2 linked regions of the Arabidopsis thaliana genome follow. The protein of the gene in region 1 interacts with the protein of each later gene in a pairwise test. Each region holds a gene or a part of one and is shown in the gene's direction. Other genes may lie near its edges.

The links.
Region 2: the proteins of AGL66 (region 1) and AGL82 interact in a two-hybrid assay, tested with the Arabidopsis thaliana proteins (one large-scale study listed by BioGRID).

The regions. Positions count from the first base shown.
Region 1 is NC_003070.9:29,312,966-29,319,924, reverse strand, and holds AGL66 (AGAMOUS-like 66), read left to right. Parts: upstream 1-2,738; 5' UTR 2,739-2,857; coding exon 2,858-3,042; intron 3,043-3,142; coding exon 3,143-3,196; intron 3,197-3,282; coding exon 3,283-3,315; intron 3,316-3,425; coding exon 3,426-3,444; intron 3,445-3,568; coding exon 3,569-3,630; intron 3,631-3,735; coding exon 3,736-3,763; intron 3,764-3,836; coding exon 3,837-3,898; intron 3,899-3,992; coding exon 3,993-4,092; intron 4,093-4,181; coding exon 4,182-4,514; intron 4,515-4,590; coding exon 4,591-4,713; 3' UTR 4,714-5,084; downstream 5,085-6,959. Other genes in the region: AST56 (STAS domain / Sulfate transporter family), read left to right, coding at 1,111-1,304, 1,423-1,517, 1,624-1,700, 1,808-1,960; AT1G77960 (repressor ROX1-like protein), read left to right, coding at 6,952-6,959. UniProt on the Arabidopsis thaliana protein: Probable transcription factor that forms a heterodimer with the MADS-box protein AGL30 and is involved in the regulation of pollen maturation at the late stages of pollen development and pollen tube growth.
Region 2 is NC_003076.8:23,777,539-23,782,928, forward strand, and holds AGL82 (AGAMOUS-like 82), read left to right. Parts: upstream 1-3,293; coding exon 3,294-4,178; downstream 4,179-5,390. Other genes in the region: AT5G58880 (LRR protein), read left to right, coding at 1-1,418, 1,607-1,961, 2,056-2,063. UniProt on the Arabidopsis thaliana protein: Probable transcription factor that may function in the maintenance of the proper function of the central cell in pollen tube attraction.

The DNA.
Region 1 (6,959 bases):
TTTAACTAAAATATAAGCCTACCTGCTGTATAATGCAAGTTAAAATTATAAATAAGCAGATTACCATCACGATGGATGTACCTTCTCACATACACACCTATCAAAAACTTAAAACCTTTCAAAACCTCTTGGTATATTCAAATTAGGATTCTTCATTCATGGAATCATTATTCCAAGGGTTTTGGGATGTCTTATGAAATGATTTTGGCAAAAGAGGATGTAAATTTTTTTGAATAAAAAGTAGTCAGCAAAACATATGTTTTATTGGGATTTTTTAGATAATTAAATCAGAGAATAGGGCTGGGCATATGAGTAACACATTCGAGTTCGGGTAGAACCCGTTCGGGTTTGGGATTAATGGGTATATGATTTACTACCTAATAGAATAATTCTAAATATTCGGTTCGGGTCGGTCCAGTTGGGTTTGAGTCAGTTTGGATAAAAAGTTTCAGGCCCTAAAAATACTCAAAAAAATAGAAACGGGTATTTTGTATGTAGATAGTGCGTCTCCAAACAAAAAAAACTTTTAAATTTATTAAGTTTTAATAAATTTAATTATATTTGAATATATTTTACTAAATTTTGACAAATATAACAAATAATTTTGACAAACATAACAAACATAACAAAATATACAATTTAATTTATACAAAATATTAATAGCACGGGTTATGATCTAGTTTATTAACTATATAATTGAAACTATTGTTTTTACTCAAGATTGATTGATGCCCTGAGGAAGTCAACAAAACTCTTTATATTCAATCATGTGAATTATTCCTATAGACAACAAAAGCGTCGATATCTCATATATTTTCTAACCAATAAAACTGCTATATAAAAATGCTACTAGGCCGACCAAATTCGCTGTGCATAGACAGACCCTGTACGACAAAACAATCAATAATGTATACTGTTTCATTCAAGTGGCAAATAAGTACACAAAAAATCAAATACATATGTTTAAAGTACCTTTGAAAAACTGGCTGTGAGAATGGATACTTGTGATCGATCTTTATCCTTTTGATCAGCTTAATCAGTTGTGATCTTACACTGTGAATTTTGATGGATAAGACTATGTATATAACAGAGTTATTTGTATATATGTAGGTGGGGATATCGTTTGCAAGAATAATGTTGAGTTCGATAAGACCAAGCATTGAGGCCTTAGGGAGGTTATCAAAAACAGATATCTTCGGTGACATAAATCAGTATCCAATGGCAAATAAGACTGCAGGATTATTGACTCTTCGAATCAGTTCTCCTTTGCTATGCTTTGCTAATGCCAATTTTATAAGAGACAGGTCATTAATCAATATTTATCTTCTTCTTTTTTTTTTTTTTTTGTTCAAACATCATTAGTTACTCTTGTGAAACTCTTATCAGTTTGACAAAAAAAATAAATATTTTTTCTTCTTTCAGAATATTGAATTCAGTTCAAGAAATAGAAGGAGAGGAGAATGAACAAGAAGTTCTAAAAGAAAATGGTCTTCAAGTAGTAATTCTCGACATGTCTTGTAAGCACATCCCACATTCTATCATGATATACTAATTTATAGAAAATGTTTTATTGTATATATAGTAGAGGTACTGAATCTTACATGTAACAAAATATTGGTGAAGGCGTGATGGGCGTAGATACATCAGGAGTATTTGCACTTGAAGAACTACATCAAGAGCTAGCTTCTAATGACATCCGGGTACATCTTTATTTCTCAATCAAATGTTATTCATTCACTATAGTTACATATGTGGGTTCATTGGATTTTCAAATTACCAATATTTGTTTTATGTTTGTGGGCTGCAGTTAGTCATCGCTAGTCCCAGATGGAGGGTACTTCACAAATTGAAGCGAGCAAAATTGGACGAGAAAATAAAGACAGAAAATATATATATGACAGTAGGAGAAGCCGTAGATATTTATGTAAGAGCAAGATCTACGTCCCACGAGTTGTGTTGATATATATATGTAAGAAACAGTACAACTCAAACATATAACCTAGTGATAATTTTATTGTTTTCTCATATAGCCTATAGTTTTTATTTAATGTACACCTGACTAAAAAGTACAAATTTCAATGCATAAGGCTACAAAATATTCTTCTTCTTTTTTTTCTTTTTTTCTTTTTATTTTCTTTTACATCTTTTGGTTTGGCTTACAATTTTTTTTTACATCTTTTGGTTTGGTTTACATTCCTAAGTGTTTTTTTAAGAAAAATAAATAAAATAATACAAGGATATATATAGCAGTGAATTGGAATCAGAACTTACATTGGTGTCTTGGTGAGTGAATAATCATATGAATCTTCCACTTTGAACATCATCACGAACAATTCACAATGTTTAAGCAAAAACACCTTGAGATAGTGTTTAACGGTCGGAAAATATAGCCGTTGAAGGAAAGTCAAATATTTGACCATTAAGTAGATATTGCCGAAGCCTCTCCATATGCTGAGAGAGTAGCCATTGCGAGGTAAAGAGGACTAGTTGACTTTTATGTTTTGTTTTTACAATTAATTATTGACAAAATAAACGATATATGCTGGTTAATCTGAACGTTATTAATTGATCCCAATACTCCTATATGAATTTTCTGTGGCAAAAAATAACATCATATTCTTAATTCGTTCAAAGAACAAAACCCTTTTAATCTCTCTTAATCTCTTCCATACATTTCTAACCAAATCTCTCTTATACCTAACCTCTCCTTCTTTCATGGTTCTCTTTTCTCTCGTCCGTACATCTCTCATATATATATAGGCACTTTTGCCTCCAATGATCAGATTTTCGCATTCCCTAAACCAAAATAAAGAAGAGTCTTTGAGTTTGTTGGTTGCATTGATCGGATATAAGAGACATGGGTCGAGTGAAATTGGAGATAAAACGAATAGAAAACACAACGAATCGACAAGTTACATTCTCCAAAAGACGAAATGGTCTTATAAAGAAAGCTTATGAATTGTCCATTCTTTGTGACATCGACATTGCTCTCCTCATGTTCTCTCCCTCTGATCGCCTTAGCCTCTTTTCGGGCAAAACAAGGTTTTTTGTTGTTGTTGTCTTATAACATTTTCTTTCGGTTAATTGTACAAAACATGGAAACATTCATTTGATCTATATTTATTCGTTAAACTCTTGTCAGGATTGAAGACGTTTTCTCTAGATACATCAATCTTTCTGATCAAGAACGAGAGAAGTAAGCTGACCTTTCAAGGCTTTAATAGATTCTCTAAAGATATTCCACTCATTTGTTCTTAATATTTCTCTTTCATTTTGTTTTAGTGCTCTAGTATTCCCCGATCAAAGTCGACGCCCGTATGTATCTTACTCTTATTCCGATAAATAATTAAACATATAATAACCGTATATTTATAATCATCAAAATCTAATTGAGTTTTTCATATTTTGACAACTCTATCTTGCAGAGATTTCCAGAGCAAAGAGGTATGTAATTAGATTAAGCATATTGTGCATGTGTCATGTGTGTATATATACCTAGCTCCTTTTCAATGAAGGACAATTATACATTTCAGATTATTGATCTCGAAATTTTCTTGTCACGTGACAGTATCTACTCCGGACTTTGCAGCAACTCAAGGCTGAGAATGATATTGCTCTTCAACTTACCAAGTCTCAAATTCTTTCTCTACTTTCATTATTATATAACTACGTTATTTGCAATAATTCGGAAGTTGATTTTCTTTATTTTTCTCTTATTGGATGATTTTAAAAAAGCCCTACAGCTATCAACTCCGACGTCGAGGTGAATCTTCTATTTTTTTCCTCTAGCTAATAACTTTACTTTATGTTATTTACTCTCTAATCATCAATTTTAGGAACTTGAGCATGAAGTTTATAAGTTACAACAACAACTTCTCATGGCAGAGGAAGAACTAAGGTCTTCTTTTTATAACCAAAAACACAGTGAATGTGATACAATGTATGAAAATTTATGTAACTAATACTTATATCCAAATTATATATATAATTAGGAAATACGAACCAGATCCAATCAGGTTTACAACAATGGAAGAGTACGAAACTTGTGAGAAGCAGCTCATGGACACCTTAACACGTGTCAATCAACGACGGGTCAATAATTTAAACTCCCCTTTATTTTTTTCTAAGCATAATGTATTCAACAATATCTATTAGTAACTAAATAATTTCTTGAGACGCAGGAACATATATTGAGTCAAGACCAATTATCTTCATATGAAGCATCTGCTTTACAACAACAGCAAAGCATGGGTGGGCCTTTTGGAAACGACGTCGTTGGAGGATGGCTGACTGAAAATGGGCCTAACGAAGCCCATTTATTCGACGCATCGGCACATTCAGCAATGTATGAAACTTTATTGCAAGGAAGTAGCTCAAGCTCGAACCAAAACAACATTATGGGTGAATCCAATGTGTCAAATCATAACGGTGACATGTTTCAAGAATGGGCCCAAGCCTATAATTCTACTACGGCCCATAACCCTTCGACTCTATTTCCTCCTATGCAGCATCAGGTTCTATATTTTCTCTTTTTCCGAAATAAATTAAAATTGTTTCACTAATTTTTTTTTTTGCTTTTAAATATGTTAGCATGGACTGGTGGTTGATCCCAATATAGAAGAAATTGAAATACCGGTTATGAAGAAGGATGCACAAGCAGACCACGAGGTCTCCGACTATGATATAAGAATGCCTCAGCTCAGTAGCCAATAATCTCAAGGAATTTCAATTTTACCATATATTATTGACATAATTTATACGTTTTTTCTTTTATTTTTTAGAAAAGTTAACAATATATATACGGTTTTATTTATCTATGAAGACAAGATATTACTATATATATGTTTATATAAAACACAACTTCCACACTTAAGAGTTAAGACCTTAACCTTTTATTGACTTGTATATTGTACATAACGTTTCTATTATAAAAAAAACATTTTACTGTTAAACAATGTATATACTATATATTATGTATATAAAACATGAAAAACATGTTTTGCTCTCAAATATGCATATGATTATGTCAATTTTGCTTGTCTAATTTTTTTAAAAGATCATTCAACTTTTGGTTGAGTGAAGATAATCATAATTTTGTTTGGACTTATTTAAGTATAAAACAGTTGAAAGAGAAATTTAACTTAAAACAAAAAAACAAAAAACGGAAAGAGTGATTTTTTAAAATTTTTAGTTTTTTTATTTGATATCACTAACGTACGCGGGTTTAAACGTTCTAGTGGAGACACTATGGTTAGTATTTAGAAAATTATTTTGATCTATCGAATTTTAGTGGGTGCAGTTGCTCAATACTTGTAATACATGCAAATGCATATACCTCTATATTAATCTTTTTTTTTTTTGGTAGAATAGGAGGAGACTATGTCTCTCACCAATTCATTAAAAGAGAATAAAACGCCATACGTATATACGAACATTCTATAAGTGCGCAGACCCACTAATATCCTTTAAAAAAATAAAACAAATAAAATCAGGACTAATAGTAACATATGCATTTTTCTATTTTAAAAAAAAAACACTGGTTTCCATAAATTTGTGTGATATCTGGGAAAAAAAACATAAAATATTAATTTAGGCTTTTTTCTTTTATTATAAATTTTCTAAGAACTTCAAACTCGTATGTGTTATCCACTAATTAAGATGCATTGACAAAAAAGTAGTATCTAATAAAGTCAATATATTCTATAAATAATGGACCAATCAAGAAATTTGTGAGACAATCTTATATATACTTGTGCCCCCAAAAAAAAAAAAAAAAAAAAAAAATCTTATATATACTCATAGAGATCAATTATATAACCTTACGTAGACGATGAAGTGGTATGACGTAAAAACTGTCCTCTATATATGAAAAAAAGAAAGGTTAGTAACTTAGTATGTAGAATTTGAGTTGTATGTGTTAAACAAATTCACAGAAATTTAATAGTGTGTATCAAATGTATTATTCACAATGACTACAAAATAGATTTTGCTCTTGAAGAAGGTAGTTTGAATTTGAATCTGTTATAGCTTAACGAAAAACCGTCAAAACGATGAAACGGATGATTTTTGCATTGAAAGCAATATTATTTTCAAATTTGTCCTCGAAAAAGTGGTCTTATTTCCAAATTTTATTATTTTAAGAGGATATGAGTGATGTAGAAACTTGGCAAAAGCCTTTTAATGAAACACATCCACAAAATCTAGAGAAAGCAATAGAGCTCTGACATTTGGGATTTTCACAATTCAGTGATGACTTATTTTGGTAGAATCCAATCAGAACAATGTACCAATCATTATCTCCAGATTTCTTTCCTCATATATCACACTAAATCTCATTATTTTAAAGAAAATTTAGATTAGACCTGTGAAATACCAAACAATGCTTTTATGTCTAAAGACTAAAATTAGTTATTAATTTCTCCATTTTTGGACTGCCTATTTAAGTTTTTTTTTTTGGTGAGGTAAAGTATAGTTTAAGTCTTAAATGATGATTATATTTTTCATTTTAACATATTTGTTTGATGAGCCTGGCTATTTCATATTTTTGGATGTGTAATACTTAAATAAAATTAAATAGTTAAAAACTAATATTATTTTATCTGAAAATTAATATATAAATTAGAAATATGTTATAATTTAAAAAATATGTATAAACTATAAATGTTTTTTTTCTTCCTCAAAATATAAAGTTTGAAAAACAAATATGAAAATAAGTATATTAATGGCATAACTGTAATATATTAATGGCATAACTGTAATATAGTAATGGTATAACTGTAATATATTTTAACATATAGACTATTTTCATATTTTTATTAGATGATTTATTTTATTCTCTCTAGTGTGTGACATCAGCATTTTATGTTTAGATTTTTCCACCTCATCTTTTAATTTATAAACGATGTCAATCTTCCAATTAGGATAACCTTGTGTTCCGGATATTCGATAAACATGTCTGG
Region 2 (5,390 bases), on another chromosome or scaffold:
CAGTTGCCTCGGATATGCAAGTTGAGGTTTCAGAGATTGGTTCACCTCCTACAACAGTTGATTGGCTTGATGACTGGTCTACTGGTGGTGAATCTTACATTTATGATACAGATATTGACAGAGAAATCGTCCGCGATGAAGAATCACGTAAGAGGATGTCTCATCAATATGAATCAAGAAGTGGAATAGGATCAAAAGAGGAGAATAGTGAGCCAAGTACTAAACCTGAGGCCAAACCAGATCAGGATTGTGTGGTAGATGAAGACCTTATAACAGTTGATGATATGTCATTGTTAGATAGAAGAACCCAAAGTGAAGAGATTTTTGAGCAGACACCTTCTAGTTCCAGTGATGTGTCCAAGCCTACAAGTTCTGGGAGATTTGAAGGTATGTTGTTCCATACAAGTGCCTCATTGTCGTCTATAACAGAAGAACCTGAAACAATCTTGGATTCGATCGATGGCGTCAACTCGGAGATTATGAATAGTTTGACTGGAGAATTAACTGACCAGAGACCTCTGACTAGTCTTGATTTATCCATGGAGAATTTGATAGATGAAGAAGTTGCTGATATGCAACAAATAGAAAATGATGATCTTTGTGGATCTCCTAAGATTATTGATTTTGATATCATTGATCATCAGCAGACAGATCAAACGTCGGATAGCATTCAAGGAGAACATGAGGAAACTAAGAGCTTCTTGGATGCTTCTTTGGACACACCCTTTATAGAATCATTTGAGAGAGAGGTACAAGAAGAAGAAGAATCAAACTTAGACAAGTCTACTGAGGAAACAACAAAAGAAACAGAAAGTGATTTGAAGAGTTCTCCGGGACAAGTTTCTACAGAATTACTAGAAAGTGTGGTAAGGGAAGAGAATGGTCAGGAATTAGTCAAAAGTGCTGATGAGAAAGCAATGCTAGTAGAGGAAGAGAAGACTCATAATGTCTTGGAAGCATCTTCGAGCAATGCTCATACACAGTTGGTTGATTTAGACTATGGAAACGCAGAAAATTCTAGTGATGTGATACTTCTGCAAGTCCAAGATAGTCATAAGTCACCACTAGATGAGTCAGTTGATCAGGAGATCTCTAAGGAAGTAGAAAAAACAGAGTTATTAAAAGATTTTTGTGGTGAATCAACCCAAGAATACAAAAATAGAGGAAATGTTGAGGCCTGTGGAAACGCAGAAAATGCTAGTGATGTGTTACTTCTGCAAGTCCAAGATGGTAATAACTCACCACTAGATGAGTCAACTGATCAGGAGATTTCTAAGGAAGAAGAAAAAACAGAGGTATTGAAAGATTTTAATGATGAAACGCCCCAAGGATACAAAAATAGAGCCAATGTTGAGGAAGAATCAGTAGTTTTAGCTGACACTCAAAACTCACAAGATTCACAAACATGGACTCAACAGGTTTCACCTTCTATTCTAATCATCTTTGACATTTTAGACAAATCTGACTCCACCAATGATTCACTGAATATGTGATTATCCATAACCATTTACTAAGATAATAAATTTTACTAGCTTCTTCCTCTGTTGTTGGTTCTTGATTTGAAGTTTTAGTAATTGCTTTTGACACTTTTGTTTTTATTGAATAGTGTGGTATAGATTCTTCCCAAGGGATATCACCAAGAACATTGGAGATCACCCAGCAACTAGAGCAAGACGATGTTATTGCCTCTTCCTCAAACACCGTCTCTCAAGATATCAATAAAGATATTACCGCGGCAGTAGCCAATGACTTAGCTGCTAGTGAGAGGAATGATGAAGTGATTCTGAAACTTGATGAGCAAGTTGGAGAAGCTATGGAAAAGGAACTAGAGCTTAATTTAGAATCACTGCACCATAATATTGGTTTAGTCGGTAGAGAAGACGATGAAGAATCCAAGAAAGTAATAGAGGAAATGCAAAATGCGGAGATCCAAACAACAAAACACGAAAACAGAGTCTTAGGTTAGTCGTAATTCAAAAATGGAGAAGAAAGCATAGATGATCAGAAAAGTGTTTGATATTCCTATGTTATAACCAAATGCTTACTATTTTGCAGAAAATTAACACATTGATGATACTAACACACAGAATCATGATGACGAAAACAAGTAACGCTGCACATAAGGTACGGTACGCCACAAGGAAAATGTGTTAAGAATTCTTTTTGATCCATAACAGGTGAAACATTGTGTTGTATCATTATTTAATGGACTTTTTGTTTAATTATACAACTTGTAAAGGCAACTCATTCTTTTGTAATATACTGTATAGAGATGGATAAATCTTTTGAATATATACTCACAGAAGAACTACTAGCATTCATTTCTCTTCTTTTCTTCTTTGTTTTAATGTTAAGATTATATTAGCGAAACATATTACAACCTAAAGCTACCCATATCCATAAAAAACGAATCGAATCGAGAAAGTTTTTCGGCATACAACGGATAAGTAGTACAACAACGGCCCTAAGAGCTGCCGGCGTTAAAGGTGACTATTATATAACAAGATTACAATAAGTGTATAAATATTAAACCGTCTAACTAATAAGGAAAGAAATAAATTTAACTGTGTTTAACATTTTTGTCTTTCTTGGTAAGCATCTTCAAGTTAGTATATTTTCCCTTTTGGCAAACTAAATATTCCCAATTTAATTCTTCTTTCCTAAACTTTCATGATCATTTAAATGTTCATATCTCGTGATCTTTGACAACCTTCCATAAACACAAACCTAATCAAGCTCAATATATAAAATCTCGCATATATTAGCTTGATTCACCCTTATTCCGACAGAAGCTCCAAAAAATCGGTTTTGGTATAAAATCTCATTGAAACTTTTGCTTTGATATTCAAGTAAGGATACTATCTTTTCCATAAACAATTTCTACATTTGTTCATTAATTCTGCTCTGGCTCTAAGGTATTTCATGTTTCATTTGTTCTGTTGTGGGATTGATTTCGTTTTGAGGGTGTCGAGAATTAGCTAGCTCCTACTTCTCGGATTTTGACTATTGGCTTTGCGTTTTCTCATTTATTCGTGAGTGTAATTTTAAAATTCTTTCGCTCTATCCTATGGTTTGTGTGGGGATTGAGGCAGCATAGAAAAAACGCCTTTAATTTGGGTTGTTTTGATCATAATTTGAGTGTTTATAGACCAACTATTCACAAAACGCCTATAAACAAAGTATTTTACAAAACATATCAATTCAATTTATTTGTACTTTTGTTTTTGGGAAAAAGGTTTATATGTTTATATGTTTTTTTTTGTAATATATAACAATAACTCAGGTTACAAAGGATGGTTCCGAAAGTGGTCGACCTACAAAGGATAGCGAACGATAAGACAAGGATAACAACTTACAAGAAGAGGAAAGCTAGTCTTTACAAGAAGGCACAAGAGTTCTCAACTCTCTGCGGCGTCGAGACATGTCTCATCGTCTACGGTCCCACGAAGGCTACCGATGTGGTGATTTCCGAGCCAGAGATATGGCCGAAGGACGAGACCAAAGTCAGGGCCATCATACGCAAGTACAAAGACACAGTGTCGACCAGCTGCAGGAAAGAAACCAACGTGGAGACTTTCGTCAACGATGTAGGGAAAGGAAACGAGGTGGTGACTAAAAAGAGAGTGAAGCGTGAGAATAAGTATTCTAGTTGGGAGGAGAAGCTAGACAAGTGTTCACGAGAGCAACTACATGGGATTTTCTGTGCCGTGGATAGCAAGTTAAATGAAGCTGTAACGAGACAGGAGCGTAGTATGTTTAGGGTTAATCATCAAGCCATGGACACACCATTCCCGCAGAATTTAATGGACCAACAATTCATGCCACAGTATTTTCATGAGCAGCCACAGTTTCAAGGCTTCCCTAATAATTTCAATAATATGGGTTTCTCGTTGATTTCACCTCATGATGGTCAGATTCAAATGGACCCAAATCTCATGGAGAAGTGGACCGACTTGGCTTTGACTCAAAGCTTGATGATGTCAAAGGGAAACGATGGTACTCAATTCATGCAGAGGCAAGAACAACCATACTATAATCGTGAACAGGTTGTATCGAGGTCTGCAGGTTTCAATGTTAACCCGTTTATGGGATATCAAGTCCCGTTTAATATTCCTAATTGGAGATTATCGGGAAATCAAGTTGAAAATTGGGAGCTTTCAGGGAAGAAAACGATATGATTTGAATTACGGAGCTTTATTAGTTTTTAGGGTTTTATAGTTTTGTTTCTGTTGGGGTTTTTAATTTTTTTTTGTGTATGATGGCTTGACATGCAAAAGTCAAGTGTTTTTTTTTTGACATAACATCATCTTTTTACATTTTATACAAGTTTCGGTTATACGTAAAGTTTTCTTTAAACACTCAGAAAATAATGTACCACTTATTTTATTATATTATCCTTGGTTTTTATATGATCATCTCCCAAATTGTCCCAAAAAACAAAATCTATAAGAACTAGTTAAGATGAATTAATTAATCATTTTACTTTCCGTGTCGAGTTTTAATTGGGATGGTAAGACATTGACAACCCTAACCACTAGACTATAAATCTTGCAACTGAGTAATTTATTTTTGTAAAAGCTTTTTTAAAAGAAAATATCTTTTTTAATCTTTGTTGATTATTCAATTACTTGATAGCTTTTGTTCATTGTTTTAAAAGCTAATTAATAATTTGTACCTTTTTGTTGATTGAATTCCAAAATTCTTTGGTTATACCAAAAAAACAAAATACGTATAGTGTCTACTGTCCTACAGACTATCTATAGCGTGTCTAGAAAAAGGAAAAAATAAAAGAAAAAATTAAGGACTATAAAGTTTAATTAGTTGCACTGTTCTCAAACATTGTCCGTTGTTATAACTTCAAGTGGTTGTTGAAAGAATAGTTTGGTTGATTGAGACGAACAACGAATAATGCCATATTGTGATCTATACATTATTCAAACATTACACGACAAATATTGGATATTTAAGTTAGAGATGGCCAACTTTGTGTCTTTGAACCTTTTTCCCTGCAACTTGTATTACAAACATATTTTTTTAATTTTTTCCCTCAACAACTAACACTGCACAATATCGGATTTAATATTTTTTTTATGCATCATACTATATAATATGATAATGCTGATATGAATTAGACTATTGTTGTGTTTCTCAAAAGGGGTTATTCACAACCACCATTTGCATATTTGGCACTGTTTAGGATTTGTTTAAGCACTTCTTACATCTGCTAATTCGATCGGGTTTGTCTATCGTACACAACACATATGATGATGTTTTGTTAGGTTTAGTCTCGGTTTACGCTTCAAGCATGTTCATGAATCTTAAACCGCTGATGAACTTGTGTGTATTAGATGTGAAGCTGTGACAGCCCATTTCGTATCGGTGGTCCAGAA